4 linked regions of the Diceros bicornis minor genome follow. The protein of the gene in region 1 purifies or fractionates together with the protein of each later gene. This does not show direct contact. Links are inferred from orthologs where the notes say so. Each region holds a gene or a part of one and is shown in the gene's direction. Other genes may lie near its edges.

What was found.
Region 2: the proteins of RPA2 (region 1) and CDK7 purify together in Homo sapiens (affinity purification with mass spectrometry; 3 studies listed by BioGRID and IntAct, with this or other methods). This does not show direct contact. The link is inferred for Diceros bicornis minor from reciprocal best matches to the Homo sapiens genes RPA2 and CDK7.
Region 3: the proteins of RPA2 (region 1) and RAD52 purify together in Homo sapiens (affinity purification with western blotting; 3 studies listed by BioGRID and IntAct, with this or other methods). This does not show direct contact. The link is inferred for Diceros bicornis minor from reciprocal best matches to the Homo sapiens genes RPA2 and RAD52.
Region 4: the proteins of RPA2 (region 1) and HLTF purify together in Homo sapiens (affinity purification with mass spectrometry, with the first as the bait; 3 studies listed by BioGRID). This does not show direct contact. The link is inferred for Diceros bicornis minor from reciprocal best matches to the Homo sapiens genes RPA2 and HLTF.

Annotation. Positions count from the first base shown.
Region 1 is NC_080752.1:43,399,576-43,406,539, reverse strand, and holds the start of RPA2 (replication protein A 32 kDa subunit), read left to right. Parts: upstream 1-3,940; 5' UTR 3,941-4,057; coding exon 4,058-4,067; intron 4,068-4,320; coding exon 4,321-4,427; intron 4,428-6,964. UniProt on the Homo sapiens protein: As part of the heterotrimeric replication protein A complex (RPA/RP-A), binds and stabilizes single-stranded DNA intermediates that form during DNA replication or upon DNA stress.
Region 2 is NC_080759.1:8,285,452-8,292,872, reverse strand, and holds the start of CDK7 (cyclin-dependent kinase 7), read left to right. Parts: upstream 1-4,404; 5' UTR 4,405-4,503; coding exon 4,504-4,569; intron 4,570-4,924; coding exon 4,925-4,984; intron 4,985-7,421. UniProt on the Homo sapiens protein: Serine/threonine kinase involved in cell cycle control and in RNA polymerase II-mediated RNA transcription. Cyclin-dependent kinases (CDKs) are activated by the binding to a cyclin and mediate the progression through the cell cycle.
Region 3 is NC_080756.1:59,530,186-59,537,762, reverse strand, and holds the start of RAD52 (DNA repair protein RAD52 homolog), read left to right. Parts: upstream 1-4,563; 5' UTR 4,564-4,654; intron 4,655-4,954; exon of another isoform or gene 4,955-5,987; intron 5,988-7,577. UniProt on the Homo sapiens protein: Involved in double-stranded break repair. Plays a central role in genetic recombination and DNA repair by promoting the annealing of complementary single-stranded DNA and by stimulation of the RAD51 recombinase.
Region 4 is NC_080741.1:5,867,460-5,874,508, forward strand, and holds the start of HLTF (helicase-like transcription factor), read left to right. Parts: upstream 1-4,038; 5' UTR 4,039-4,076; coding exon 4,077-4,099; intron 4,100-5,153; coding exon 5,154-5,361; intron 5,362-7,049. UniProt on the Homo sapiens protein: Has both helicase and E3 ubiquitin ligase activities. Possesses intrinsic ATP-dependent nucleosome-remodeling activity; This activity may be required for transcriptional activation or repression of specific target promoters.

The DNA of each region.
Region 1 (6,964 bases):
TAAACAACATTTAAATACTGAAAAGATTGATTTCAAGTTTTATTAGCTATGAGTTGAATAAATCGAGCATTCAACAAATATTGTGAGTGTTCTGTGTCACATATAAAAGCCTCTCTAATATTATCCAATTCATGATGATTATTACTGGTAGAAATAATCAATACAATATAAAACTGAAATGGCTACTCCACCTACTAAAATTATCTTAGACAAAAAAAAAAAGTTTAGAAAATCCCATCTGGTGTATAACATGGAAAACTGCAAAAAAAAATCTCCTGAATCAAATTGTACTTGATCGCAATAATGAGCACCCATAAAACTACAGTGGCAGATGTGAAAAATCAGTAAAATTTGGTATGGATCAAATTTGAATGATGAATTAAACCCTCATTGTAAAGTTTGCCCAGGAGAGAATTAATTCACATAAAAATGATTTCAGCAAAATTAAAAATGGAAAAAATTAGAAATGGCTAAATCTCACTGTGCAGAAAGTTGAACAGGGAATTAAGTCTAAGTGAAATTTTATCAGTGTTGGGACAGTTCTGATTAAAATATATGTATTTATAAAGTGGAGGCAAAACAATCTTGGAGGTTAAAATGGCAAGTCAAAAACATTGGGAGATAATGCATATTAAGCATTTAACAGAGATAATGCATGTGTCTGGCATGTGGAATGTACTCAATAAACACCAAAGTGGATTTAAAAGTTTTTTTTAATTGTGGTAAAATACACATTACATAAAATTTGCCATTTTAACCATTTTATGTGCACAGTTCAGTAGCATTAACTACATTCATGTTGTTGTGCAACCATCACCGCTATCCATCTCCAGAACTTTTTCATCTTCCCAAACTGAAACTCTGTACCCAGAAAACAATAACTCCCCATTCTCTCTCTCCCCCCAGTCCCTGGCAACCACTATTCTACTTTCTGTCTCTATGAATTTGACTATTCTAGGTATCTCATATAAGTGGAATCATACAATATCTGTCCTTTTGTGACTGGTTTATTTCACTTAGCATAATATCTTCAAGGTTAGGGCCGGCTCCGTGGCTTAGTGGTTAAGTGCGCAGCTCCGCTGCTGACAGCCCAGGTCCGGATCTCCGGCGCGCACCGGCGCACCGCTTCTCCGGCCATGCTGAGGCCGCGTCCCACATACAGCAACTAGAAGGATGTGCAGCTATGACATACAACTATCTACTGGGGCTTTGGGGGAAAAAAATAAATAAATAAAAATTATTAAAATATATATATATATCTTCAAGTTTCATCCATGTTGTAGTATACGTCAGAATCTCCTTCCTCTTTAAGATTGAATATTATTCCACTGTATGTCCACACCACATTTTGTTTATCCATTCACCTGTCAATGAATACTTGGGTTGCTTCCACCTTTTAGCTATTGTGAATAACGCTGCTATGAACATGGGTGTACAAGTATCTGAGTCCCTGCTTTCAATTCTTTGGAGTATATACCCAGAAATTGAACTGCTGGATCATATGGTAATTCTATTTTTAATTTTTTGAGGAACCATCATACTATTTTCCATAGCGGCTGCACCATTTTACATTCCCACTAACAGTGCACAAGGGTTCCAATTTCTCCACATCCTTGTCAACACTTGGTGTTTTCTGCTTTTTTAATTGTAGCCATCCTAATGGGTGTGTCACTAGATTGTTTTTAAAGGGTGATTTCTCCTCCTCTCAGTCTTGCTGTGGGTTTTCCTGATAGCAGCCAACGTGGACTGGAAATGGAAGACTTCTTGGAAATCCCATCGTGTGACAGGAAGACTTCAACTTGACGAAACTAAACCTTGAGAGATGAATGTACTACCACACACACACACACAAAAGGTAAATACCAATTATTTTAGTGTTGATTGAGAACTGTGCCCTCTGCTCAACTTATCAGATCATCAAGCTCTTGAAAAGATGTGGAAAATTTTTTGATGTTTTGCAGTTATTTTCATTTCATTTGATTTATTTTTAAATGTATGATCCTCACAGCTGAATTTATAACTATTTGAATCCCAAATGAAGCCAATTAACCCAAGTGAACCCACATCTTAAATTTCCCAGAATAGTCTTAAATCATTTTATCCTATAGGTCATAAAATGCTCTTACTTGTCAGACTATGTAAATTTCAACCCCCTTGGCTTAGTATAATAACGTCATCTTGGTTAGCCTCAGGCTTTTGTCCTCGGCTGTATCTTGTTTATTTCTCAGCCATGATCTGGAGGCTTACACAATTTACATAGGAAAGAGATGGCACACAAGCAACATCTGGTCCACAGGTTATCTTTTCTTTGGCCTACATAGTGTTTTAAAATTTACTTATAAACACTTAAAATTCAGAAATCTTTACATAAAAATCCAGATTTCCAGCATCTGCTAAAAAAACTTGGATGACCTGGGTCCACGTTCTCTACATCAATTACTATTTACCATTACATTTGTGTGGTTGTTTTCCTTACTGTGGAGAAAAAAGTAAAATTATTTTCCCTGTTATCCAACCCAATACATTTACAGTTTTCCTGCCTGACCCAACTTGTCCTTTGAGTTTGTGACCCTATTCCAGGATGTTCAAGAGGGTACAGTAACCACCTTGGTTGATGGAATCAGACTTCCTGGGCTTGAACACCAATTCCCACAACAGCCTCTCTGTGCCTCCGTTTCCCCATCTGTAAAATGGGGATAATAACTGTACTTACTTACCTCACAGGATTGAGTTAATAAATGTTTAAGATAGTGCTCGCAGCTTTAGAAAAAGAAAATAAAATGGACCAGGAGCCCAGGGACCATGTCTATCTTATTTACAATTGAATCCCAGTGGCCAGCACGGAACTTGGAACAAAAGAGGCATCAATAAATTTGTCTGTGTGTGTGTGTGTGTGTGTGTGTGTGTGTGTGAGGAAGATCAGCCCTGAGCTAACATCTGACAGTCCTCCTCTTTTTGCTGAGGAAGACTGGCCCTGGGCTAACATCCATGCCCATCTTCCCCCACTTTATATGGGACACCACCACAGCATGGCTTGCCAACCGGTGCGTCGGTGCGCGCCCGGGATCCGAACCAGCAAACCCTGGGCAGCCGCAGCGCAGGGCGTGCACTTAACCACTTGCGTCACCTGGCGGGCCCCAATAAATATTTTTTAATAAATAAATGTGGAGAAGGGGGATCTAACAATCTACTGTAGCAGTATTTAAAGCAAGGAACCAACAGACGTCTTCTACTCTCTATAGGAAAGGCACAACCATGGTATATGAAGAATAGTTGAAGGAACGGAGGATGCGCAGCTGGATTAGACTGCGAGGGGACCGCGGCGGGGAGGTGTGAGGGGAATCCACAGATCTTTTGAAAGGCCATCTGGGGAAAAGAGTCAAGGTTTCTTACGGCCTTATTAGGGAAAATCAGGACCAGCGGATGGAGATACGAGAAGAGAACCTGGCTCCTTACGGGAAAGAACAAGCAATCCCAAGAGGCACACTGTGTTCCTGGGATGCGCAAATACCGCGCGACTGCGGGGCGGAGACGCCGAAGCAGGAATTCTACTACAGGCCCTTAGATTAAGGCGTCGTCTGATTGGAGAGAGTTTGGCGGGAACAGGAGGGCGCCCACCGAAGGAAGTGATGTAAGATGTCGCTCACTGGACAGGGGTGGGATTACATGTCCCAAGTGTGGAAGTATTATGTTGATTGGTTGTTTTCTTGAGACACCGCCCTGTCAGCGTCTCGCCGCACCTTGCTTCCGGTGGCGCAGCGTGTTTTGCCCTTAGTAAAGATGGCCGCACAGGCTTCCGGCCCCATTGGGAGCAGAGTGCGCGTTTTCAGGAGCGTGACCGGAGAAGACCGGAAAAAGCGTAGGATTCGTGAGCATTGATTGGCTGAAGCGAGAAGCGTTCGGGGCGCTGATTGGCTTCGTCATTCGCGGGAAGGTGTTTGTGGCGCCAGCGAAGAGTAGATAACAGCGCTGCGGCTGCGACAGGGTTCTGAGGTGTCCGGCGAACCCACCAGATCGGAACGTTCTGGGCCTCTTTCCTGAGGGAGTCGTGATCAAGATGTGGAATAGTAATGAGTGGGGCGGAGGAGGATGAGAGTCGCAAGAAGGGCATCGCAAAAGGGCGGGGGTCGGAGAGGCGTGTGGCGGGGGTGGGGGAGGCGCGGGAGCTGCAGGTGGGGGCGTGTAGGGCCCAGGGGAAGGGGGTGGGGAAAGTTAGGGAGGTGCTGGGAGTGGCTGGGAGGCGTGAAGCCTGAGGGGACCTGCGGAGTTTTCAGAAGCATGGAAAGCAGCCCAGATACTAATACTGTTATTTAAAATCAGGTGGCTATGAAAGCTATGGCAGCTCCACCTATGGGGGAGCCGGCGGCTACACACAGTCCCCTGGGGGCTTTGGATCGCCGACACCTTCTCAGGCTGAAAAGAAATCAGTAAGTTGAAAGAGTATTTTGTTCCATTTTATCCTGTCCTGAACCTCCGAACTCATCCACGAGGGAAAATTTAGGCGCGAAGGGCGTTAAACATGAACTGCTTAGATAATTATCAATTATTGTCTTATCGAATCTCATAATTAAGTGGTGTAAGTTTGAAAAACGAAATCTCCCCCTAATTTTGCATCCACTGTTAACTTGGCTTTATTTTGGAATTTACCAATATAGCTAATCAGTCTTGTGGAAAAACTGGACTTGTATTAATCGCCTGTTTTACATTCTTCGAGTATTCAAATTTTATTTATTAAATGTAGTGAGTGATAAAAAAGCAGTCGAAAGAGCATGGTCTTGGAAGTCCACTAGATCTACATTCTGTGGTTCTGACACTCGACTTACAGGGTGTCACTGGACAAATTTCTTAACTTTCTTGGGAGTCAGTTTTGTACCTACTAAATGTGGTTAATAATACATACCTTACAAGGTTGTTGTGAGAGTTAATATATATAAAATGCCTGTGGTACAGTCGCTTTCAGTAAATGGTCCCAGATATTTTTATTAAAGAGAACACGAAAATAAAACAAAGAAATAAAAAGAACACGAGCGTTGGAGCCAGAATACATAGTCTCCAGAATCAACTTTGCGTTTTGACTGGCATTGTGAGCTTAGTGAAGCCCCTAGAACCCTGTGGCCCTTGGTTTTGCTCATCTGGTAATGGTACCGGTACTACTTCTATCACAGGGTGTTTCTGAGAAGTGATAAATAAGGTAATGTATAGGATAGTGATCTGGAAAAACCTGTCCGAATGCTTGGTGTTCAGTCTTGCAGAAATGAGTTTGCATTTAACAACTGCTGTTGATCGCATCCTTTAAATACAGGGTTGATTCGTCGTCTCTTTGGGTGTCAATCAGATATGGTGTTAAGATTCAGTATTAGCAGGTTCTGTGTTTTGTGTACAGGTTGATAAGCTTTTACCTGAACTGTTAATTCAGGGGCGTGTGCTGGTGGGAAAGAATTCATTGATAGTTCCCATACATTTGGATGTTGCTTTATATTTTTCATATAAATTATTTCATATAATCCCATAAGGCGTTGATTGTTTACTGCATTGCACAACAGAGGCTCAGGGAGATTAAGGGACTACTTAAGCTCAGATGGCTGCTAAGTAACTGGAACCAGACGGGGCACACACAATGCTGAGCAGATCCAAAATCTGGTGAGCAGCTTCTGTCTATTGTAGTTTTCTTTTTCTCAGGAAGACCAGAGGGGACTCCAGTCCTCTAACTTTGTCTTCCTTGAGGAGGAAGAAAGAGGAAGGAGAAAACAAAAGATAAATGATTGATTCTCATCTTTTCTCCCTTCTTCCTTCCTGTTGTTAGAATTTTTGTCTCAGAATCCCTAGCTTGGGCAGTGTATTAAGACAGCTTTTCAGATGATGATGGTTATAAACTGGAGACTCAAACTCAGATCTTTTTGTTTTTAAATCTAGTGCCTTTTCCATGGTAAGTTAGATAAATGCCCTATCTAAAATGTTTCCTATGGACTATAAACCTGTTATATTTTACTGAACCTTGTGAAATTTCCAATACTGACCATTTTTTACCTATAAAAATGATGGTTTCATACAGTACTATCAGTAGCCTGTGTTCATAGTCAGCTAGAAAATAATCTTTTTCAAAATTAAACATATTTGTGTTGGTACATTCCCTGTGAATCTTTTTGGAACAAACTAGGAACTCCTTGCAATCAGTTCCTGGCACATAATAGGTGCTCATTAAAAAAAAAAAGAAATATCTGTGATTTGAGATGAATTTGAAGGTATTGCTAACACCTCAATCATTATATCTAACTTTTTTACCTGAGGAGTAATATTTGTTGAATACATACTACATGTAGAGATTGGCATTAGCATTTTTATATACATGATATGTTTTGTTTACAATTTGAAAGGTGGATATCCTTATTTTACAGAGAGGTGGTGGTGTGTCCAGAGCAGTGGAGCTGGGATTTGAACACAGGTCTATAGGACTGTCTGGCTCCAAAGCCATTGTTCTTGCTCCTGTTAACCATAGTGGTTCTTAGTTTTCTTATGCTGAAAATATGATGAAAATCTCACCTGTGATAGGTGAAAACATAACATATAGTAGAGAATGAGAGCTAAAACATGGGACCTCAGCAAATTTCAAATCTGTAAATACTAATATATCATATAACTTCACATATAAAATACCATAAAGTAAAATTTAAAAACATAGTTGATTCCTTCATATCCTTATTAAAAGCTATTGAAGATATAAAGAGTGAGGGTCAATAGCTGACATAATAATTACTAACATTTATTGAGTACATACAATGTACTGGGTAGTATTCTAGGTATTTCACCGTATATTTAATTTTCATAATGATTTTATCATTCCTAGTTTTACAGATGAGGAAACTGAGGTACAGATGAGTTGAGAAATGTGACTGAGAACACATTGCTCCTGAGTGGTAGAGCCATAATCTTAAGCCCCAAGTGTGGCTGCTGCCTTTTGTGGCCT
Region 2 (7,421 bases), on another chromosome or scaffold:
CTCCTAATTTATGTATCTTGGTCAGCTTCTCCACAAGCTTACCTAATGGTTTATATACTTTATACTTATTAAAGTATACATTTTTAAATGTTAGCCTATTAATTTACTCTTGATTATCAAGTATTACCAGTGTTGAACTATTAAAAGCACACAATCTCTCGTAAACTATCACAGGTTTCCCATAATTTCACTTTTCTTTCAGTTTCTGTTTAGATATGGAAAGAATTTATCAGGCAAAATTGCTGCTTTCGGGAAGTGCTTTTCCCGAAATTGGAGGAGGATCAGTGAAATAATGACTCCATTATTTGCTCTTAATTCTCTTAACGTTTTTCATTCACAAATTTACTGCAGTATAATTGGCTTAATAAGCGTATCCTACTGTAAATGATACAAATATAGGCAAAGTAAAACAAGTGGCTTTGTGGTAATAAGACTGGGGTGTTAACACAAAGATTATTTGTAACCTATATTCAGAAACAAATGTCAATGGAAAATGGAAAATAAATTAAGAAATCAAGTGAATATAGCATAGGAATAAATGTTTGAGTAGAAATTGCAATTTATTATGTTTTGAAGAGTGTTAAGATAGTCTTGTTCTTTGGTTTATTTTACTTTTTGATTGAGATCATGTGTGCAAATCCTGATAACCATTAATTTTCTCAAATTTACTGTCTGAAAGCCTCATAAAATCAACCTAAATATTTACCTTATTAAGGCAATTTATGAAACTTTATTAATAGAGTCTTCCTGTGCCAAAGGTATGTATTATTGTCAAAGTAAAGCCTAACAAAGCTCAATAAATTCTCTTCCACACCTTTAATGATTTCTAAAATATGCTTTAAAGAAGTCATCCCTAAAAATAAGAGTAGATCATGAGCAATAGACAGAGTAGAACTGTTGTCAAGTACGTTTCTACATTTGCCCAGTTCCCTATGGGTTAATGTTTACTGTGTTTTTGTTTTTGTTTTTGTTTTTACTATTTTAGAGTTGATCTTCTCTTCTAAATTCTTTTTTCTGGCCTAGTATAAGCATTGGCAAACTTGAATATGAGGTAGGGGTTTGGTGCCGGCAATAAGCTGTTCTGGTGACTCATGAAAAATACATGATTTATGATTTTGTTTTTTAAGAAATTTATTTGGGAAATTTTCTTAAAAACTAGCACTATTCTCATTTTTCTCTTAGCTTTCTCATTTCAGTAAAAAGAAGCCTAGGACATTTTTTTTGCTTTCAGAAACAGAGTGGGTTCAAGTAATTAAGACTAGCTTGAGGGGCCAGCCCATGGCTTAGTGGTTAAATGCGCGCACTCTGCTGCAGGCCGCCCGGGTTTGGATCCCGGGTGCACACCGATGCACCGCTTGTCAGGCCATGCTGTGGCGGCATCCCATATAAAGTAGAGGAAGATGGGCACAGATGTTAGCCCAGGGCCAGTCTTCCTCAGCAAAAAGAGGAGGATTGGCATGGATGTTACCTCAGGGCTGACCTTTCTCCCCCCCCAAAAAAACGACTGGCTTGAGCAATACTATGGGCCAGCAGTTAGAAAGCCCAATACTGGAACTGCTTGCAGGGCACCTTACTACAGCTGCTGCCATGAAAGTCACAAAGAAAAAATATATCACTTTTACAGAATTTGTGAGTACAGGTATGGCAAAAAGGCATGTCAGAGGGAATTGCTGTCACAGGATGAGTTCCCAAGGAGGATGGTGTCATAGAAAGAATTCTGGCTAGGCTTAGAGTAAATAGCCTGTATTTTCATTTAGAGGTTAAGCACTTAAATATATGTAACCATTAGCAAATTGCTTAATTTGTCCAAGTTTCAGTTTTCCTCTCCGGTACTATACAGTGTGACAGGCAGGACCAAATTAGTGTATTGCCCATTACTTTGTAACAAATCACCCCCAAGCTTAGTGACTACAAACAACAATAATCAATTAATAGCTCATGGTTTCTCTGGGTCAGGAATTCAGGCAGACACAGTTCTGTTCAGTGTCTCTCATGAGGTTGCAATCAGATGCCAACTGGGGCTGCAGTTATCTAAAGGCTTGACTGGGGCTGGACGATCTACCTCCAAGGTCGCTCACTCACGTGGCTGGCAGGTTGATGCTGGCTGTTGGTAGGAGGCCTCAGTTCCTCTCCACAGGGCTGTCTGAGTTAATTCATGACATGATGGGCTGACTTCTCCCCAGAGCAAATGATCTAAGCATGCAAGGCAGAAGCAGCAATGCCATTTATGGTCTAGACTCAGAAGCTGCAGACACTGTCTTCTGCCATATTTGATTGGTCACACAGAACAGCCTGTTTTGTTGTGGGAGGAGACTACACAAGTGCATTAATACCAGAAAGCAAGAATCACTGGGGCCATCTTGGAAGCTGGCTACTACCAATGTGTGAAAGTGCTTTGTAAACTGTAAAATGCTATACAGATGCTGGATGGTATTTTATATATACAATGATCTAATGAACCCAGAATATCACCTAAACACTGCCTTTGTTACCCTATTTAAAATGTCCCCAAACAGGAATTTACTTGTCAGCAGCATGGTATAATGGAGTGATTATCAATTCATATGGCATGGCACACTTGGGAACCTCAAGCCTCACAGGTGTACCATCAAATTTAGCTCATTGTTTAGCTTATTTCTACTACAAGTGAGGTTAGATTACTGTTACAGTGATGTCTTTCAGAAGGAACTTTGACCCAAGTCATGTGACACCATGTATCATTAGGTATGACTTGCCACAGTTAAGAGATATAAGTGGTAAAAGATGGTGTGTTTTCTGCAATGTATGAGAATTTTTCCCATGAACATATTAGAGCTCAATAAAGACCCAAGTAGTGACAAAGAGCTGGAAGATAAGCAATAGTAGTTATGTAATGGCTAACATAAAATGAGCACTGTCAGACACTATTCTAAGGGTTTTTTGAAGTGTGAGGTCATTTAAGCCTTGCAGCAACACTATGAGTAGTTCCTATTAGGAGGAAACTAGGAACAGCAAGGTTAAATAATTTGCCCAAGTTACACATCTAGTGATTAAATATTTGTAAGGCCAGTATTCAAATGCAAGTATCTAGATCCAGAGCAAGGACTCAACCTTTACTCTATTACCTTGATCAAATTGTGTCTTGGTATTCCGATGCCTTCCCAACATACCTCTGAAAATCAGGATTCTCAATTCTTAGAAACATCAAATGCTCCAGAGCTCAAAACCTTGGAATTATCCTGTTTCTTCCCAACAACCCATATCCAGACTGTTAGCAAATCCTATTGGCTAGAAGCCAAACATGTAGCACTTAATATAGCCAACTGGATTATTACAATAATTCTCTAACAGGCCTTCTTGTTTTTCCTTGCCCTTCTAAGTCTATAGTTTAGTCTCTCACAACAGTCAGAGTGAACCTTTTAAAACATTGAGTCAGATCATATCACTTGTCTGCTCAAAACTCTGCAGTGGCTTTTCAGTGATATCTTTCTTGTACCACCCTGTTTAAAACTGCAAACCCTACTATCTCTATGCCCTTTCCCGGCTTTATTATGTCTATAGCACTTATCACTATGTATCAACACATATTTTACTTGTTTGTTTTCTCCTCTCATTGGAAGTCAGGGATCTTTGTCTTTTGGCCCGCTGACTTCTCAGAGTCTACAACAGAGCCTGGCACACAGTAAACAATATATATTCATTGAATAAATGAATTAATGTGTTTAAATTTTGATTTGTATGAAAATTTATGACAAAGTTGGGTACTGATCACCAGTTAACATTTAATTGAGCACTTACTCTGTCTAAACTTTCTGCATGTCTCATTTAATCCTCACAACCACCTATGATGTAGTCTATTATTATTTTCATTTTACAGAGTAGAAAACTGAAGACCATATGGTGTGTTTCAAAGCACAAAATTCTTGAGCTGACTTGGATTTTGTTTCCCTGGGTGTGCTTCTTCATAAAGGGAGTGGGCTAAGAATGCCTCTTGACCAGCCCTTAAGAACTGGGCACTCCTCTAAATAATCTGACATTGCGGGGCTAAGCGTTCTTAGTAACCGTGGCGACAGGACGCCCTCGAGCAACAACTAGAAAGCGAGATCAGGGACAAGGCCAAGCTTTCCACACTCATACACACCTATTAAAGCCCGAACTCAGAACATCGTATTAGAACGGTGACCCGTCCCCAGTCGTGAAGAAAATGTCTAAGTTACAGCGGTAACAGGGCGACACAGACATCCATCGCCGAAAACACGCCGCTTCCGGCACCAACAGGCAACCACGTGACAGCGCGGGGCGCATAGCAGCAAACCAGCGAGCCCGGCCTCGCACAGCCTCCGTAGGGCGGGCTCTGGCTGGACTTATTTAATGTCACTCACGCCCATCCCGGATGTGGGGGCGGAGCTAATAAAGCGTCGGAACCAGTGAACGGAAGTGGCTGTTGGGGGATTAAAGGTAGCTTTAAATTCCTGCTGTGTTCAGAACTCGGCCCTTTCAGCTGGAGTCGGCTTCGCGCGACGGATGGCTGTGGACGTGAAGTCGCGAGCAAAGCGTTATGAAAAACTGGACTTCCTCGGGGAGGGACAGGTGAGACTCTGGGGCGGGATTCGGAGGGCCCTGAGCAGAGAGCGCCGAGCCGCCTCACGCTGGCAGGCTGAAGTGGAAGCCAGAGGACTGGCCTGGCTGCTCGTTCCCTTTGGGCGAGGCTGCCCAGGCCCCCTGCCGCCCCGCGGTACGCCCGCAGGTGAGCCCCTGAGCGGCCCCCTCCTTTCCGCAGAGCAGGCTGGAACGGGACGTGGACTGCCCCACCACGTTTCAGGCCGCCGCGAGTCGGCTCCGAGAACCCTGGTTCTTTGCTTCGCCCAAATCTAAAAAAGTAAAAAGGCAACCACAAACAGAAAAACTCCCGCAGACTTAACGTTATTCCTGTTTTTCTCTCTAGTTTGCCACGGTTTATAAGGCCAGAGACAAGAACACCAACCAAATTGTCGCCATTAAGAAAGTGAGTTTACAGTGTGTTGTTTTCCTTGAGTCTTTTTGAAGACGTCTGTATGTGTGAGCTGATGGATGGCCGTTTTACTGCTCTTCACCGTGCTCTGCTAATGAGGAGTTACCATGTCACTTTCAGAGAAAATAGAATTTATTAGCCTCTTATGTTCCAAGGTGGAACTCGGGTTGAACTAGTTTTTGTTCCAATAATTGTAATTGAAAAGAAGAGGAAGCTATAAGTTATGATCGCTCTGTAAACTCAGATGTTGGCAAAGGGGACGAGTACTGCCTATCTGTTGGGTCCTCAGAGCTATTTAATATGATCTTTCCAGGTCACTATTTCTGCCTCACCTGCATCCACGGTGTGTATCATATCTGTATTTTCTGTGTAAAGATTTACCATGAAAGGCTTTCACCAGCATTAACACCATTGATGTGCTGCGTTTTTAAAAATGATTTAAGGAGCTTTCTTACTTGCATTCATTCAAGAAACTTCGGTCATATTTAGCTAACTTTCTATATGCCAAGCACTTTCACTTACATTTTTTCATTTAATCCCCAAAACAACCTTGTGAAGTAGGTAAAATAAATATCCCTGTTTTATAGTCGAGGTACCTGAGGCTAGAGAGATTAGGTGACTTGTCAAGATGACACAGGTAGTAATTGCTAAAGCTGGGCTTTAAATCCAGGTGTCCTGCTGCCAGGTTGCTTGCTGTTTCCGCATACTCTTGAAATCAATAACCCTTTCAAGAAGAGGCTGTTTTTCTCACATCTCAAGGTCTGTTGGTGGGGTAGGTAACCTCCACCTTCCTATTGTTCCTGTTGCTGCTTTGAATCTGTTTCTCCTTCAGATTCCCTACGTCCTTTGAAGCATATTGCCCTCATTCAGTTAACACCTGGCTCCTTCTCTTCGTCTCCACAATTATTCCTGACATTGTTTTTTCACTTTCTCTAACTTCTTTCATGGCGTTGTTTTCCAGCTTATGTTCTATAATCCAGTGCTATAGCTACTATAGCTACTCCCTTGTGCAACGCTTAACTCTCCTGACCCTTTCTAAAGTTACCTTTTCGACTCTACCCCCGGTTCACTATATTCTAGTCGCATTGACCTTTCTGTCCCTTGAGCTCATTAACTTCATTCCAGTCCCAGGATCACTGCATTTGCCTTGCTTTGTGGTTAGCATATTTTTCCTCTAAAACGTGGCATGGCTGATTCCTTTATCATTTAGGTTTCACTCAAATGTCTCCCCCACAGAGAGGCCTTCGCTGGTGGCTCTAGCTAAAACAGGTGTGCCTCCCTCCTTCCCTAGTGTTCTATGCCATATTTCTCTGTTATCTTCATAGCATTTATCAAAATCTTAAATCTTATCTATGAGTTTATTGTCTATTTACTTAGGACTGTACATTTATAGACACTCATTAAAAATATATTTACTTGACTGACTGATACAATCTTTTCAAGCTGTTGGCACATTTTCTGTAGTTGTTTGAAAGTCCTAGTAGGTTTTTTTGTTTGCTTGCTTTTAATATTAATTAGGATTTAGAATCCATCCTGTTTCTCTGTGATAGACTTTTACACTTTGAAGGTGACTCATGGTGGAATCTTCTTTTACGTTTAATTTTTATTTCAAATAATACATCTTTGTGGTTTTAAAAGTCAGTTAAGAGGCCAAGGCTTTTTAACATGCCTGACTCTTCTACTCCTGTTTTTCAGTCCTTGGAGCAATGACTTTCAATTCCTATAACTGTTTAATGTGGTATTTACCTCTATTTCTTTAAGTAATATGCTTGTATCGTTATTTCTTGAGTGGTTCCCACCCCTCATGCCCCCTGTCCCCTCGTTTTAGACATTATCTGTTTCCTACTATAAACATTGAGGATTTGGTGCTTGTGGACCTTCTGCTCCCAACTCTCATAATTTCTGCTCCCGTTCATTTACTAACATTTATGTGTAATTTTACCAAAAAGGAATAATAAGCTATTCTGTGTTCTTTCACCTATTGCATCTTGCTTTTAAAATAGCATTGATCTACCTTATCCTTTCAAACAGATCATATTGAATTTATGTTTTGTAAAAGTTTATTTAACCAATCCCCTATTGCTGGCCTTTTGGAGCGTTTCTCATTTTTCAATATTTGTCTCAAATATATGTATCTCAACAATATATAGTATTGCATACTTTTAAACTTCAAATATAAATGTATAAAATATTTTTCTGCATCTTGTTTTTCTGAATCAACATTATTTCTGAAATCTTGCACATCGATACATGTAGATCTGGTTTAGTCATGCTCACTGATGATTAGATTCTGTTATATGACTACACTAAAATTTGTCTATCCAAACTCTTGTTGGATAGACAAACTGTTTTCTTCAAAGTTTTCCCTTAATACAGCCCTTCTACAGACGTTCCTATGCGTGTGTGAGTTTCTCTAGAAAGTGTATCTATG
Region 3 (7,577 bases), on another chromosome or scaffold:
AACATATTGTTCTATTAATGAACAAGAATACAATATTTTTTTTTTTTTTTTTTTTTTTTTTTTTTGCTGAGGAATATTCGCCCTGTGCTAACATCCATGCCAATCTTCCTCTGTTTTTTAGTATATGGGCCACCAGCACAGCATCACCATTAACAGAGTGGTGTAGGTCCATGCCTGGGAACCAAACCCAGGCTGCTGGTGTGGAGCACACTGAACTTAACCACTAGGCCACTAGGGCTGGCCCCCAATATCTTCTTATCTGAGAATATTATTTATATTTCCTTTGAATTTTTTTTTCTGTTTACCTTGTCTCTTGGGTTTCTTTACATTTGTTTTTATAGCTTTTACATCAAAGATATTCCTTGTGATCCTTTACTGTCCTCATATTTAAGAACGAGGTGTTAATCATGTCATTGTAAGCTTTTTGAGGGTATGAAAGCTCTCTGATTTGTTTCATTGTAGGCAAGCTTTTAAGAATTATTTTATTTTAATTTAAATTTTTAAAATTGTGACAAAATACATATAATATAAAATTTTCCATCTTAGCCATTTGTTAGTGTACAGCTCAGTAGTGTCAAGTACATTCACATTGTTGTGCAACAAACCTCCAGAACTCTTTTCCTCTTGCAAAACTGAACTCAATATCCATTAAACAACAACTCTCCATTTCCCCTTCCCCAAGCCCCTGGCAACCACTCTTCTGCTTTCTGTCTTTATGAATTTGACTACTTTGAGTAGAGTTTGAGGAGAATTTGACTCTTGTAAGTAGAGTCATACAGTATTTGTCTTTTTGTGATGGGATTAATTTCCTTAGCATGATGTCCTCAAGGTTCATCCATATTGCAGCACAAGTCAGAATTTACTTCCTTTTTAAGGCTGAATCATATTCCATTGCATGTATTTACCACATCTTGTTTATCCAGTCATCTGTCAATGGACGCTAGGATTGCTTTCTCCTTTTGGCTATTGTGTGAATAATGCTGCTATGAACATGGATGTGCAAATATCTCTTCAAGACTTTTCTTTCAATTCTTTTGGGTATATACCTGGAAGTGGAATTGCTGGGTCATATGGTAATTCTGTTTTTAATTTTTTGGGTGTGTGTGAGGAAGATCAGCCCTGTGCTAACATCTGCCAATCCTCCTCTTTTTTTGCAGAGGAAGACTGGCCCTGGGCTAACATCTGTGTGCATCTTCCTCCACTTTATATGGGATGCCGCCACAGCATGGCTTGACAAGCGGTGCATTGGTGGATACCCAGGATCCTGACCGGCGAACCCTGGGCCGCTGCAGCGGAGCACGTGCACTTAACCACTTGCGCCACCGGGCTGGCCCCTGTTTTTGATTTTTTGAAGAACCACCATACTGTTTTCCATAGTGTTTGCACCATTTTACATTCCCATCAACAGTCCACAGGGGTTCCAATTTTTCTACATCCTTGCCAACACTTGGTATTTTCTGTTTTTTAAATAATAGCCATCCTAATGGGTGTGGGCAAGCTGTTTTATGTATATAGTTTTGGACTCTGTTTTTCTACAGAATATCATCTTGAACATTTTTCCACAACAATAGACATTTTTCTAAATGTGATTTCTAGTGGCTGTATTATTGAATAGATTCCATAATGCAGTATTTTAATTTGTTTCCAGTAATTTTTCAGGGATAAATAATGTTGTGCAGAATATTCTTATAAAGAAATCTTTATGTACATCTTTGGTATTTTCCTTAGTTGATAAGGTCCTGGAGGCTGAATTCCTGGATCAGAGGGTATATATTTTTAATACAAATTGCCAGATTGCTTTCCTGAAAGGTTGCATCAGTTTCTATTCCTACTAGCAGCGTGAGAGTATCATCTACACTGAATAGTATCAGACAAAATTATTTCAGTGTATAATCATAAATACAAGAATATACATACAGCAAAAATACACATCAATTGATAACCATGGGTAACTCTGAGAATAGGACTGGTTTGGCTGTGAGTGCTCAAAAAGAGTTAGGTTTACTTTTATTGTTTGTATTTTTCAGTAAGAATGTACATATGTAATATTTGTATAAAAATAAATATTTTAATTTCCTAATTTAAAATGCAAATAGGTGAAATGATACACTTATTTTAATATGTATGCTTTTTACTTTTATTAAAGTTAAATCTTTTTTTCAAATTTATTATATTTCTCCTTTTGTGAAATATCCACTCATTTCAGTTGCCTATTTTTCTTGAGTTGTTAGAACTTTTCCTATATGAACTCTCTTTACCACACATGTTAATAATATTTCCCCCTTTTTCTTGTTTACTTCTAAAGTTTTGTTTATTTTCTATTTCCGGAAGTTTAAAAAGTTTTATGTAGGTAGTTACATTTATCCATCTTTTACTTAACGATTTATTTCTTGGCTTTTATACAGACAATCCCTGACTTAGAATGGTTGGACTTAAAGATTTTTTGACTTTATAATGGTATGAAAGCAATGTACATTCAGCAGAAACAGTACTTTTTTGATTTTTTTCTTTTTTTGGTGAGGAAGATTGGCCCTGAGCTAACATCTGTTGCCAATCTTCCTCTATTTTTTCTACGTGGGACACTGTCACATCATGGCTCGATGACTGGTGTGAAGGGCCGTGCCTGGGATCTGAACCAGCGAACCCCGGGCCACCGAAGCAGAGTGTGCGAACATAACCAGTATGCCACTGGGCCAGCCCCACGAATCCTGAATTTTGATCTTTTCCCAGGCTAGCAATATGCTGCAGGATACTCTCTCCTGATGCTGGGCAGTGGCAGGGGAGCCACAGCTCCCAGTCAGCCACGCGATCACAAGGGTAAACCTACAACCATCCTGCACCCCCACAACCATACTGCTTTTCACTTTCAGTACAGTATTCAATAAATTACATGAGATATTCAACTTTTTATTGTAAAATAGGCTTTGTGTTGGATGATTTTGCCCAACTGTAGGCTAATGTAAGTGTTCCGAGCACTTTTAAGGTAGGTGAGGCTAAGCTATGATGTTCAGTAGGTTAGTGTATTAAATGCATTTTCAACTTATATTTTCAGCTTACCATGGGTTATCTTACCCATCCTAAGTTGAGGAAGATCTGTAACTCAGAAAGCCGTTCTCCCTTCTGAGGTCGGATATTCATCTGTATATTTTTTAGTTTGTTTTATGTGCATCTTTGTGTGTTTAACACTTCACCCTTGAATTCAATTGTAATTTATTTTAGTGTATATTTTGGTCAGGAATGTAATCCAAACAGTTAACTAATTGTACCAACACCATTTTAAAAGCAAACATTCCTTTCTTGGTTGATTTGAAATGCAACCTTTATCAAATAAATTATTTCTGCATTGGGTCTGATTCCAGGCTTTTTACTCAGCTTCCGACGGTGTTACTAAGAAGAGTGAGAAGTCATCCAAGAAATGATTTGCCCTGGATGGAATATTACTGCTCAGACAACGAACCATCTGATTAAAGGGGGTTTATTGAAACAACCAATTTGTAAAACGTAAGAGAATGATTTTGTTGGAGTCCTTAGTACTTAATTTGGGTTTGTGATGACTAAACTTTTTAATCCTGTTTCTGAGCATTGCTAACAGGATATGCAGTCATCACCCAGTTGCAAGGCACGGTTCCAAGGGACATTCTAAAGAAGCACTCCCTTCCCACAAGTCGCCACACATTTCCCTCTGGTCCTAGCTAATGTAACACGCCATCCGGGGATCAGTGGGTGTATGCAGCAGTGGTAGGAGAGAAAGGAGGCTTGGTGAACAAGTATGTCCACATTGCCTTGGTTTTGCTGTGCGTGTCTGGGGTGGAAACTACAGAGCTCTGACAACCATTATTTTTTTTTGTGAGGAAGATCAGCCCTGAGCTAACATTCATGCAAATCCTCCAACCCTCCTCTTTTTTGCTGAGGAAGACTGGCCCTAGGGCTAACATCTGTGCCCATCTTCCTCCACTTATATGGGACGCTGCCACAGCATGGCCTGACAAACGGTGCATTGGTGTACGCCCAGGATCCAAACCTGGGTCGCCAGCAGCAGAGCACGTGCACTTAGCCACTACGCCGCCACCGGGTTGGCCTCTGACAACCATTCTTAATAAGACTTAAAAGCACGGTTTTCCTTTCCTGCAATATCCCTAGTGTGCACCAATAATACCAGGAAGTTCTTCGCCCGCCCCATCACCGCACTCTGACTGGGACTGGGTTTGTGAGGTCCTGTGGGAAGGGGCGAGAGAAGTGGGCCCTAAGAGGCCTTAGATTAAGCCGCATGCACCGGGCGAGCTGGCCGGACCCGCCAGGGGGCAGCAGAGATCTGGGCGGCCGTAGAACTGGAGGCAGGCGTCGGGGAGCCACAGGCAGAGAGAGCGAGGCGGAGACAGCGGCTCCGAACGCAGCGGTCAGCATCGCGCTTCCAGCTTGCTTTACGGCTGTCGAAAGATTGCTTTGCGGCTCCTCTCCCCTTCCGACTTGAATTACGGCTCCCCCCTCCTGTTCTTTTCGCCCCACCCCCGGCTCTCTCTCGATTTGGACCTTCTTCCCAGGGTTCTCTTGTGCTTCGTTCCCAGTTTCCTCTGCGCGGCTGTGGGTAAACTCCATTCCCTTCGCATTTAGTCTAGGGGAGCTGCGTGCGTTCGCCGCGCGCTGCGCGAGGCGCGTAAGTGGGAAGGGAAAGCGGCCCCGCTGGGGTGGTCGGCGCTGGGGTTGTGGAGCGCGGGGCGGCTCGGATCCTGAGTCAGGCGCCGGGGGCGGCGGTTGAGCTCGCCTGCGGTGCCCCCAGAGTGGCCGTGAGACTGGAGGCCTGTGCTGACTAGTCCAGTGGGGGTTCAGGAGCAGGGCTTAACTGCGAGTGGGATTGGGAGGGGCGGGGTGCAGGGGACTTGCGCCGCCACACGGGGCGCACGCACCAGGACCCGCGACGGGGTGAGGGCGGCGTCCCGTTGCTTGGGGCGGTTCCCTGCACGGGCGCCAGACCTTTGCTTGCTGCTTGTTGACAGGCGTGGAGAGCGCTGAAGTTTGTGTCGGTAGCTGATCGGAGTTGGAAGAAGTGGCTGCGGTTGGGCAGGAATTACCCATTTAAAAGGAATTTGACACTCAATTTAGACGCGTATTCAGCCTTTCTAGATGTTTTCAAAAAAGTGGAGATATAGTTCATATACTATTACATTCATACTTTAAAAAAAAATTTTCTCTTCTTTTTACTTTTTGTGAGGAAGATCAGCCCTGAGCTAACAACTGATGCCAATCCTCCTCTTTTTTTTGGCCGAGGAAGCTTGGCCCTGAGCTAACATCCTGCCCATCATCCTCTACTTTATATGCGACGCTGCTGCCACAACATGGTCTGACAAGCGGTGCCTCAGTGCGCACCGGGGATCTGAACCTGCGAACCCCAGGCCGCCAGAGAGGAGCTCGCCCACTTAAGCGTTTGTGTGGTGGGGCCGGCCCCTAATTCATACTTTTAAAGTGAACAATTCAGTGGTTTTTAGTATATTCACAAGGTTGTGCAACCATCACCATTGTCTAATTCCAGAACATTTTTGTCACCCCAAAAAGAAACCCCCAACTCATTAGCAGATACTTCTCGTTTCCCCCTAACCCCAGTCCCACTAATCTACTTTTTGTCTCTATGAATTTGCCACTTCTAGAAATTTCATATAAGTGGAATCATACAGTATTTGTCCTTTTGTGTCTGGCTTATTTCACTTAGCATAATGTTTTCAAGGTTCATCCATGTTGTAGCATGTGTCAGTACTTCACTCCTTTTTATAGCTGAATATTAATATTCCATTGTTGGGATATACCACATTGTGTTTCTCCGTTAATTGATGGGCATTTGGGTTGTTTCCCCTTTTTGACTTCCTAGACCCTTTTAAGGTGTCTACTCAGATGAATTGGATTACATCAAAATTTGAAACTTCTCATCAAAGACAACTCTAAGAAAATGAATAGGCAAGCACTGACACCTATCTGACAAAGGACTGATATCCAAGGTATGTAAAGAACCATTAGGGTTCAAGGCCTGGGACTAATCCTCTGTGGCCTGCCCTACCCTCTGCACCTGTGGCTTCATCTTCAAGTCATTCTTCTTTTTTCATGAAGAGTAGCATGTGTTTACAGCTGGGTAGTTTTATTAGCCCATTTCCTGCCAACAGTGTATGAGAGTTCTAGTTGCTTCACATCCTTGCTAACTTTTGGTGTTGTCAGTCTTTATTTTTAGCCATTCCGCTGGATGTAAAGTGGTATGTTATTAGGTTTTAATTTTAGTCCTTGATTACTCATGATGTTGAGCACTTTTTCTTGTGCTTATTGATATTTTTATATCTTCCTTTGTGAAGTGCCTGATCAAATCTTTTGCCCATGTTTTTTTTTTTAAAGATTTTATTTATTTATTTTTTTCCCCCCAAAGCCCCAGTAGATAGTTGTATGTCACAGCTGCACATCCTTCTAGTTGCTGTATGTGGGACGCGGCCTCAGCATGGCCGGAGAAGCAGTACGTCGGTGCGCGCCCGGGATCCGAACCTGGGCCGCCAGCAGCGGAGCGCGCGCACTTAACCGCTAAGCCATGGGGCCGGCCCTTTTGCCCATTTTAAATTGGATTATTTGTCTTTTTATTATTGAGTTGTAGGGGTTCTTTATATATCCTTTTTATATTATGGATATCAGTCGTTTGTGGTTGGCTATTCATTTTCTTAGAGCTGTTTTTGATAAGCAAAGTTTTACATTTTGATGTTGTCATATTTATCATTTTTTTCTGTTATAGTTATTGCTTTCAGAGTCCTGTCTAAGAAATCTTGGCCACCTCCAGTTTGTGAAAATATACTTCTGTATTTTCTTCTAGAAATTTTATAGTTTTAGCTTTTATGTTTAGGCCTGTGATCCAGCTCTAGTTTTTGTGAATGGTGTGAAAATTATTTTGTGAAAAATATTAAATTTTTTTCCCACATGGATATCCAGTTGTTCCATCATCATTTGTTGAGAGTGCCATTGTATTGCATTGATAACTTTATTGAAATTCAGATGTCTGTATAAATGGCAGTTGATTTCTGGACTCTCTCTTCTGTTCCATTGATCAATCCTTATGTCAGTAACACACTGTTTTAAATATTATAGCTTTATAGTAAGTCTTGGAGTCACATAGTGTAGGCCAACAACTTTGTGGTTATTTTTTAAATTTGATTTGGATAGTTTAGATCATTTGCATTTTCCATATAAATATTAGAATCATCTTACCAGTTTCTACCAAAAAGTCTGGTAGGATTATGATTGGGATGGATTAACATCTTAATAGTATCTAGTCTTCAAATATATGAACATGTATATCTCCCTTTTTATTTAAATCTTCTTTAATTTCTTTTAGTACTGTTTTGCAATTTTCAGTGCAGGGGTCTTACACATCTTTTGCTAAATTTACTCCTCAGTATGTTTTTTTAAGTCTGTGGAAGATGGAGCCATCATTTGCGTTGTTACTCTGTATGTAACATGCCATTTTTCTCTGACTGCTTTCAAGATTTTCTCTTTATTTTGGGTTTTTAGCAGTTTGCCTATGGTGTGTCTAGGTGTGATTTTCTACGTATATCTCC
Region 4 (7,049 bases), on another chromosome or scaffold:
GAAAAACTTCATAATTTCTTTACTACAATTTAGTTTATATCTTTTATTATTTTCTTATAGCAAAAAAGCAATATATGTTCAATACAAGAACATTTTACATGCATATAAGCAAAAAGAAGAGAATGAAAATCCCCTAATTCAACTGGCTAGAGTTATCTGTTATAAAAATCTAGGTATAGGGGCCAGCCAGTGGCTTAGTGGTTGGGTTTGTGCACTCTGCTTCGCTGGCCTGGGGTTTGCAGGTTAGGATCCTGGCAGCGGACCTATGCACGGCTTATCAAGCCATGCTGTGGCCGCATCCCACATAAAATGGAGGAAGATGGGCACAGATGTTAGTTCAGGCCCAATCTTCCTCAGCAAAAAGAGGAGGATTGGCAACAGATGTTAGCTCAGGGCTAATCTTCCTTACACACACACACAAAAATCTATGTGTAAATTCATTGAGATGTATGTGTTTATGGATGTATAGCATGTATAATTTCAACCACTAACTCCATTTGCAAAGATAAATCTTTATTTTTTTTATTGAACTTAATTTGTTTTAAACCTTAGTTCGCCTAATGGGAAGTAACTTAATTTAGTCACTTCCAGGTTGTTCAGTCATTTTAAGATTTAGTCAATTAAATGCGGGTTTCTTACCCTTTAGGAGGTTTATGTTTGGACTCCATTTATCTTCTGCAGGCACTCACTGCTGATATAACTCATCCTACCTCATCTTTAGGCACCAGCCTCCTGCTTAACCTTGCTGGAACCATGATCTAGTGAAGGCCTCCAGCCTTCACAGTGATGGACAGCCACTGGGGACTCTCGTAGGATTTCAAAAGGCTACCCTTGGGCCCCTTAACGGAACCACCTCACTAGCCTTTACTCTTACTGCCCTGGTACATTTCTGATCTCTGAGGCTCTCGTTAAGATCTATAGAATCTTGAGGCTACTCTCTGGAAAATGAGGCATAGCTTTCCTTTCTTATGGGATCTCCAGAAACTTTGCTAGGCTGTCTACCATCGCTCTCTTTGTGGGGATTGGCCCAGGGTGATGGCATTCCAGTTCCTTTCCCTAAGATCCACTTAGAGATTTACTCTGTGAACTCTCCTATGTCATTCCTGAAAATTCTCCTCTTCCATTGAACTTTGTCTCTATCTCATTTTGGGGGAGTGAAGCAAACAAACAAACTTTTACAACATCATATATTCTTCCAGAATCTATTATTTATGACATAAATTTAGAAGTTTTTGTGTTGAGGCCAGACTTTTGGAAATTCATATTCTTAAAGTTATTTTCTTTGCTAAGGGCTTCAAAATTCTATTTTGTTAACAAAGTATAAAAGAACATTTTTTGAGATAATTGTGAAAATTCAAGTATGAACTAGTTATTAGAAGACACCAATGTCTATTATTAATTTTGTTGGGTGTAAGAATAGCCTTACAGTTATGTATGAAAATATTCATAATTTTTATAGAAGTTAGTGAAGGCCATTGTAAGCAGGGTGGGTTGGGCGGTGACAGGAGTGGGAGGTAGGGGACAGATTATAAAGAGCCACACTTGCCTTTCTTTGATTTCACGCTCATAGCATCAAACAGGGGAGTAACATGACTAATTAAAAGGTGGGGAGGATGAAAAAGTATATTTGTGTCTGGGAGGTGGGTAGCTGGAGGAATTTTTTATTCCTTGCTCTCCTCTAGCATCCATATCCACATCCATCAGCAAACCCGGTTGGTTCTCTAAGCTTCATCACCTCCCCATTTCAAGTGACCCTCATCTCTTACCTGGACACAATCGTTTCCTAATTATCAACTATCAGTCTCTCTGCTTCTATTCTTGTTCCCTATAATCCATTCTCCACAGAGCTGCCAGAGTGAATTTTTTAAAGCCTAATTCAGATGGTCCTTCTCCTGCTTAAAACATTTAATGGCTTTCTATTGCATTTAAAATAAAATACAGGGCTGGCCCCATGGCTTAGCGGTTAAGTGCCCGTGCTCCGCTACTGGCGGCCCGGGTTCGGATCCCGGGCGCGCACCGACGCACCGCTTCTCCGGCCATGCTGAGGCCGCGTCCCACATACAGCAACTAGAAGGACGTGCAGCTATGACATACAACTATCTACTGGGGCTTTGGGGGAAAAAAATAAAAAATAGATATATAAAAAAATAAAATAAAATACAAACTCGACCACAGACTGTAAGTTTCTATGTAATCTTCCTCACTATCCTCTTTGTGCCACTCTCCTCCTGACACATGGGTCCAACACACAAGCCACTGTACAGTTCCCATTCTTTTTCAGTTACAAATGTTCATTTCTCAGAAAACATTATCCAGTTTGATAGTTATGAACTTGTAACTGTTGTAACATTTAATCAAACTAGTACAAACTGGAGTTCATTTTTAAAAATAAAAATAGTAAAGAATGATTAAGTAAATGTTTTCAAGTTCAACTGCTAGATCTGAGATGTAAAATAGTGACAACACGGACAAAAATGTTGACTTTAAATAGCAAATTTTTACTTCATTCTATCCGCATTCTTGAACCATGGGACAGTCATTACTCATAGGTCTTAAGTCTTGAAAGAGTCACGTTTACCTGTATTTTCATATTTGGAATTTTATCCTTCAGTCTAATGAGCATAGCTTCTTCATTAATTTTACACACAAAACATTTTCAATCTGGGCATTTTCTGGTGTATTTTCCGAGAGGTTATTTAGAATCTGGCACACCAAAAATTGAACTGTATTGCCGTTTGCTTCATAATACTTCCAGAAGTAAAATAATTAAAATAATTTGAAATGCCACTGTCTTCACCTTCGTCACCACCTCCTTCTGTCTAGTGCAATGAAGTAACAAATTGCTGCGGATTCGATTTCGCATCCCGCTGCGGGTCCACGCGTACAGATCACGGCAGCTGAAGAGGAGGAACAGACGCCTCTCGAAACCCTGTTGCACTGCGCACCTCGCACTGCCGCCGGGAGTGGAAATGGGCCGCTCCGCCCCGGGCACGTGTCAGCGTCGCTCACAGCCACGGCCGCCCTTGCTCTGGGACGCGCCCGTCTCCGGGGACCGCTCCGCGTGCTCCCCGGCGCCGCCGCCGCGCCGGGCACGGCCGCTCAGTCGGCAGCCGCCCCTTCCCGGCTCCCGGGCCGCACGGACGGCCGTGGCCGACCGACGCCAGCCGAGCGCTGCTCCCCTCCTCAGACCCTCAGAGGCCGGCCGCGGAGGCCTGGGCGCCCGGGCGGCCCCTGAGGGCAGCACGTGCCGGGGCAGCGCTCCCCAGCAGCGTTAGTGCGCTGGCGTCGCAGTTTGCGGCTTCGCTAGAAATGAAAAATTTCCTTGAAAAAAAGAGGGCGGGGGGACTCCATAAATCTGAACGCCAAGGAAGCTCCTCTGAACTCGGTGTGTCTCGTGGATTCGCTGGCGAAAATGAGTATTTTGACGCCAGCTGCCCGGGTTCACCACAGGAAATGAAGGTGGTAGCTGCGGGCTCGCAAGCCAGCGGAAGACCCTATCACATGTCACATCAGATGAGGAGAAAATTAGAGGCGAGCTGAGGTAGGGCTGAAGAACGAGGCTGAGGCTTGGGGCTCGGCGGAAGCAGCCGACAGGAGAGTCGTCTCCCTCTGTTTGAGGCAGGGACTCGCACAGAACACGCAGACCCGCGGGCGCAGCGGTCGCACTCCCGCACTCCCGCGCCTTTCCCGCGCGCCCATCTTGGGGGCGGGGAAGAACCCGGATGGAACCGCCGGTGCAGCCGGGACCCCCCACGGTCTTTGAATCTGTGCGCGGGGCGTAGTTGCCCTCCGTTCCGTGCTCTGATTGGTTCGTCTCCGTAGGTTCCCTTCTCGCGATTGGACGTCCCCCGTGCCAGTCACAAAGCGCCGCTGGGCTCCCAGATTGTTGCTGGAAGGAGACGGCGTCGACGTCTGACTGGGCTCGCGGCGTCTCGCCTCCCGCTAGCTCGTCCATCCTCCGGCGCCCCAAACCGGTCCTCGGCTTCTCGCCCGCTAGGCCCGGAAGGAGGCGTGTCGAGGCGGCTCGAGAACGATCGCGGGCGCCCCGGCGTTGCCCTCGTCACCCACGCAGCGCCATGTCCTCCTGGATGTTCAAGAGGTGAAGGGGGCGGGGTGGGGCGCCGAGGGTAACGGCCCGGCGGCGTCCCCACATGAACCTGACCTTCCCCGCGTTCGCTCCGCGGCCCGGTGCTGCTGGGGCTCGCAGCCGCGGGAGCGAGAGCAGCCGAGTGTGGGCTGGCGAGGGGAGGCTCCTCGGCGGCCGGTGCGGGGCCGTGGGGAGGTCAGTCAGGGGCGGGGCCTGGGCCCCTCAGCCGCGTCTCCACCTGCGCCTTATGCGACGAGCGGCCGGCGGATGCCCGTGCGCTGGGCGCTGGCCCGGTAGAGGGCCGGGGGCGGGCCCCTTCCCCGCTGGCGGCCGGTCGTGCGCGCGCTCGGACGTGCGGGGGGGTGTTTGCGGAGGAGTCGGAGAGGGGCGCGCGACGGGGCGGAACAGCTTCTCTCGGTTCCGAGGCGGCGGAAGCGACCCCGGACTCTTCGGGGTCCAGGTTGGCTCGCCTGCCCGTTCCTGAGACCGTTGTCCGCAGCGGGATTGCGGTTCCCCTTAAACGGGCGCGGGTGGGGGGCTTGGGGCCGACTTCGCTCGGTGCGGTGGTGGGATGCGTGAGTGGAACGACCGTGCTGCTCGGAGGGAATCGCCGCCGTGGGTGCTGGCTGTGTCGTCAGCAGGGACGGGCTCGGCTGCAGGTGTGAAAGTGGTCCTGCATTTGCAAGTCTCTTCTCGCGCAGCCCCTCATGACGTTTTGGCGTGTAACTGAAGTTGCAGACGTCGCGTACGTCTCAGCTTCGGTAGACGATCGTCGCTAGGAGAGAGACTTGGGAACCCTTGCTGGGGTTCTCGTTTTGAATCCCCGTGGGTGGAGAGGCGTCGCTGAACGGGTGGGGCTACTGGAAACCCTCCGCTCGCTCCAGTTCCCGCTTTCACCGGGATAACTCGCTGTAAGTCTCGATGCAGCGGTTCCCACGTAAGGTGTAATTTGTTGACATAAAGTGTGGTAAGATAATTGGCCGATAAATATGGTATGGTCTTTGAGAAAAATTTGGTTAAATATTGTGTTATTTTAGTGTGTCCTTTTTTTTTTTTTTTTTGACAGAGATCCTGTTTGGAAGTACTTGCAGACTGTCCAATATGGAGTCCCCGGAAATTTTCCACGCCTGTCATATCCAACTTTCTTTCCCCGTTTTGAATTCCAAGATATTATTCCTCCAGATGACTTCCTGACTAGTGATGAAGAGCTCGATTCAGTTTTATTTGGAACTCTGCGAGGTCATGTAGTTGGACTACGCTATTACACAGGAGTAGTGAGTATGACATTAGATGTTAAGTTAAAATGTGATGTGTTTATGATATTAGCCTAGAAAATAAGAATTAGAAGATGACATGTGCAGTTAATATTTATTTTACTTTAAGTAATTGAGATACATCTGGGCAAGAGGAAACAGACACCTAATGATTGATATTCTTTTATGTTTACATCATGCTTACAATATGCAAAGCACTTTTTCCTGTATGGTCTCATTAGATCACTGCAGTGACTCTGAGGTAGATTAGGACGTCTTCTATCCCCCTCCTGTACCTGAAGAACTAAAGCTCAGGCGGGTTAAATAATTTGCCCAGAAAGCACAGAGACTGGTACATTTGCAAAATAACTTCCAAGTCAGTCTGTTGCTTTCTCCTCTTCTACCCCTCAGCACATTTCTACACTTTAGTATTTTTAATTTAGGAGGTCAACTCCTATTAGATAAGAGAATTGTCTATTTTTAGGTCCTTTTTTCTTTCTGTAGTAAGACTACCTGTCTTGCAGTTTTTCTTCCTATCTTTCTCTATGTATATTCTCTGCGGTGTGTGTGTGTGCATGAGAGAGACCTAGAGACTGAGAGACCTGATCAATAGTTGTCTTTGTATAGTTGTCTAGTATGCCTCTGTGTATCTGGATCATATACCTCTAGTTTTATTTTTTTAATTTATTATGAAAAATTTCAAACATACATGAGTAGAATAATACAGTAAACTCCCATATACCTATGATCCAGATTCAGCAGTTAAGTTTTTGTGCGTTTGCTTCATCACTTTTTCTTTTGTTCTAAAAATCCTGACCGTATCACTCTATACCCATGTAATTCAGTTTGTATCTCTAAAAAATTTCAAACATTTTTACGTGTAATTTTCATACTAAAAATTAGTAATAATTCCTTGTTACATCTAATAGCTAATCCATAATCAGTTTTCTTGATTGTTTAAAAATATCTTTTTATAGTTCATTTTTTTTCGAATCAGGATCAAAAGAGAGTTCATGTATTACCTTTAGTTGTTACATCCCACAAGTCACCCGCTCCCCTGCTTGTTTCATGTCATTGATTTGTTGCAGAAACTACATCTGTTGTTTGATGGGAAGTTCTGGATTTGTCAGTTCTTCCATTCCCCCATATTATTCTCATGTTGAAGCTTTCTCAAATCATGTTTTGGTTGTCTGAAGCAGGAGATTCCTTGGGAAAGAATTTCACGATCTGAATTTGTTTAGTCTTTCGTTCTCCTCTATTTTCTTTGTATTGGAGCTTCTCAAATCATTTTGTGATTGTCTGAAATGTGTTGTCTAGGAGATTCCTTAGGAAGGAACAATATTTCCTGAGCTTTTGTATGTTTCTAATTGTGATGTTTATACTTGAAGGGAGATTTGGCTGAATATAAAATCCTTGACCATATTTTCTCTACATGATATCTTGATGCTGCTGGTAAGAATTCTGATGCCAATATGATTTCTCTCCCATATAAGTGAATTGGAATTTTTTTGCCTAGATGAGTAAAGGATATTTTTCCTTATCTTGAAAGTCCAATAGTTTCATTAGTGTACATCTTAGTATTGACTGTTCTGTAACTTTATTTTCTTCTATTTCAGAAAGTTTTCTTTAATTATAGTTTTAAATGTTTGCTTTGGTCCAAAGCTTGTTTTTCTTCTTCAGGGACTCCATTCTACTGTCTCTATATTAGA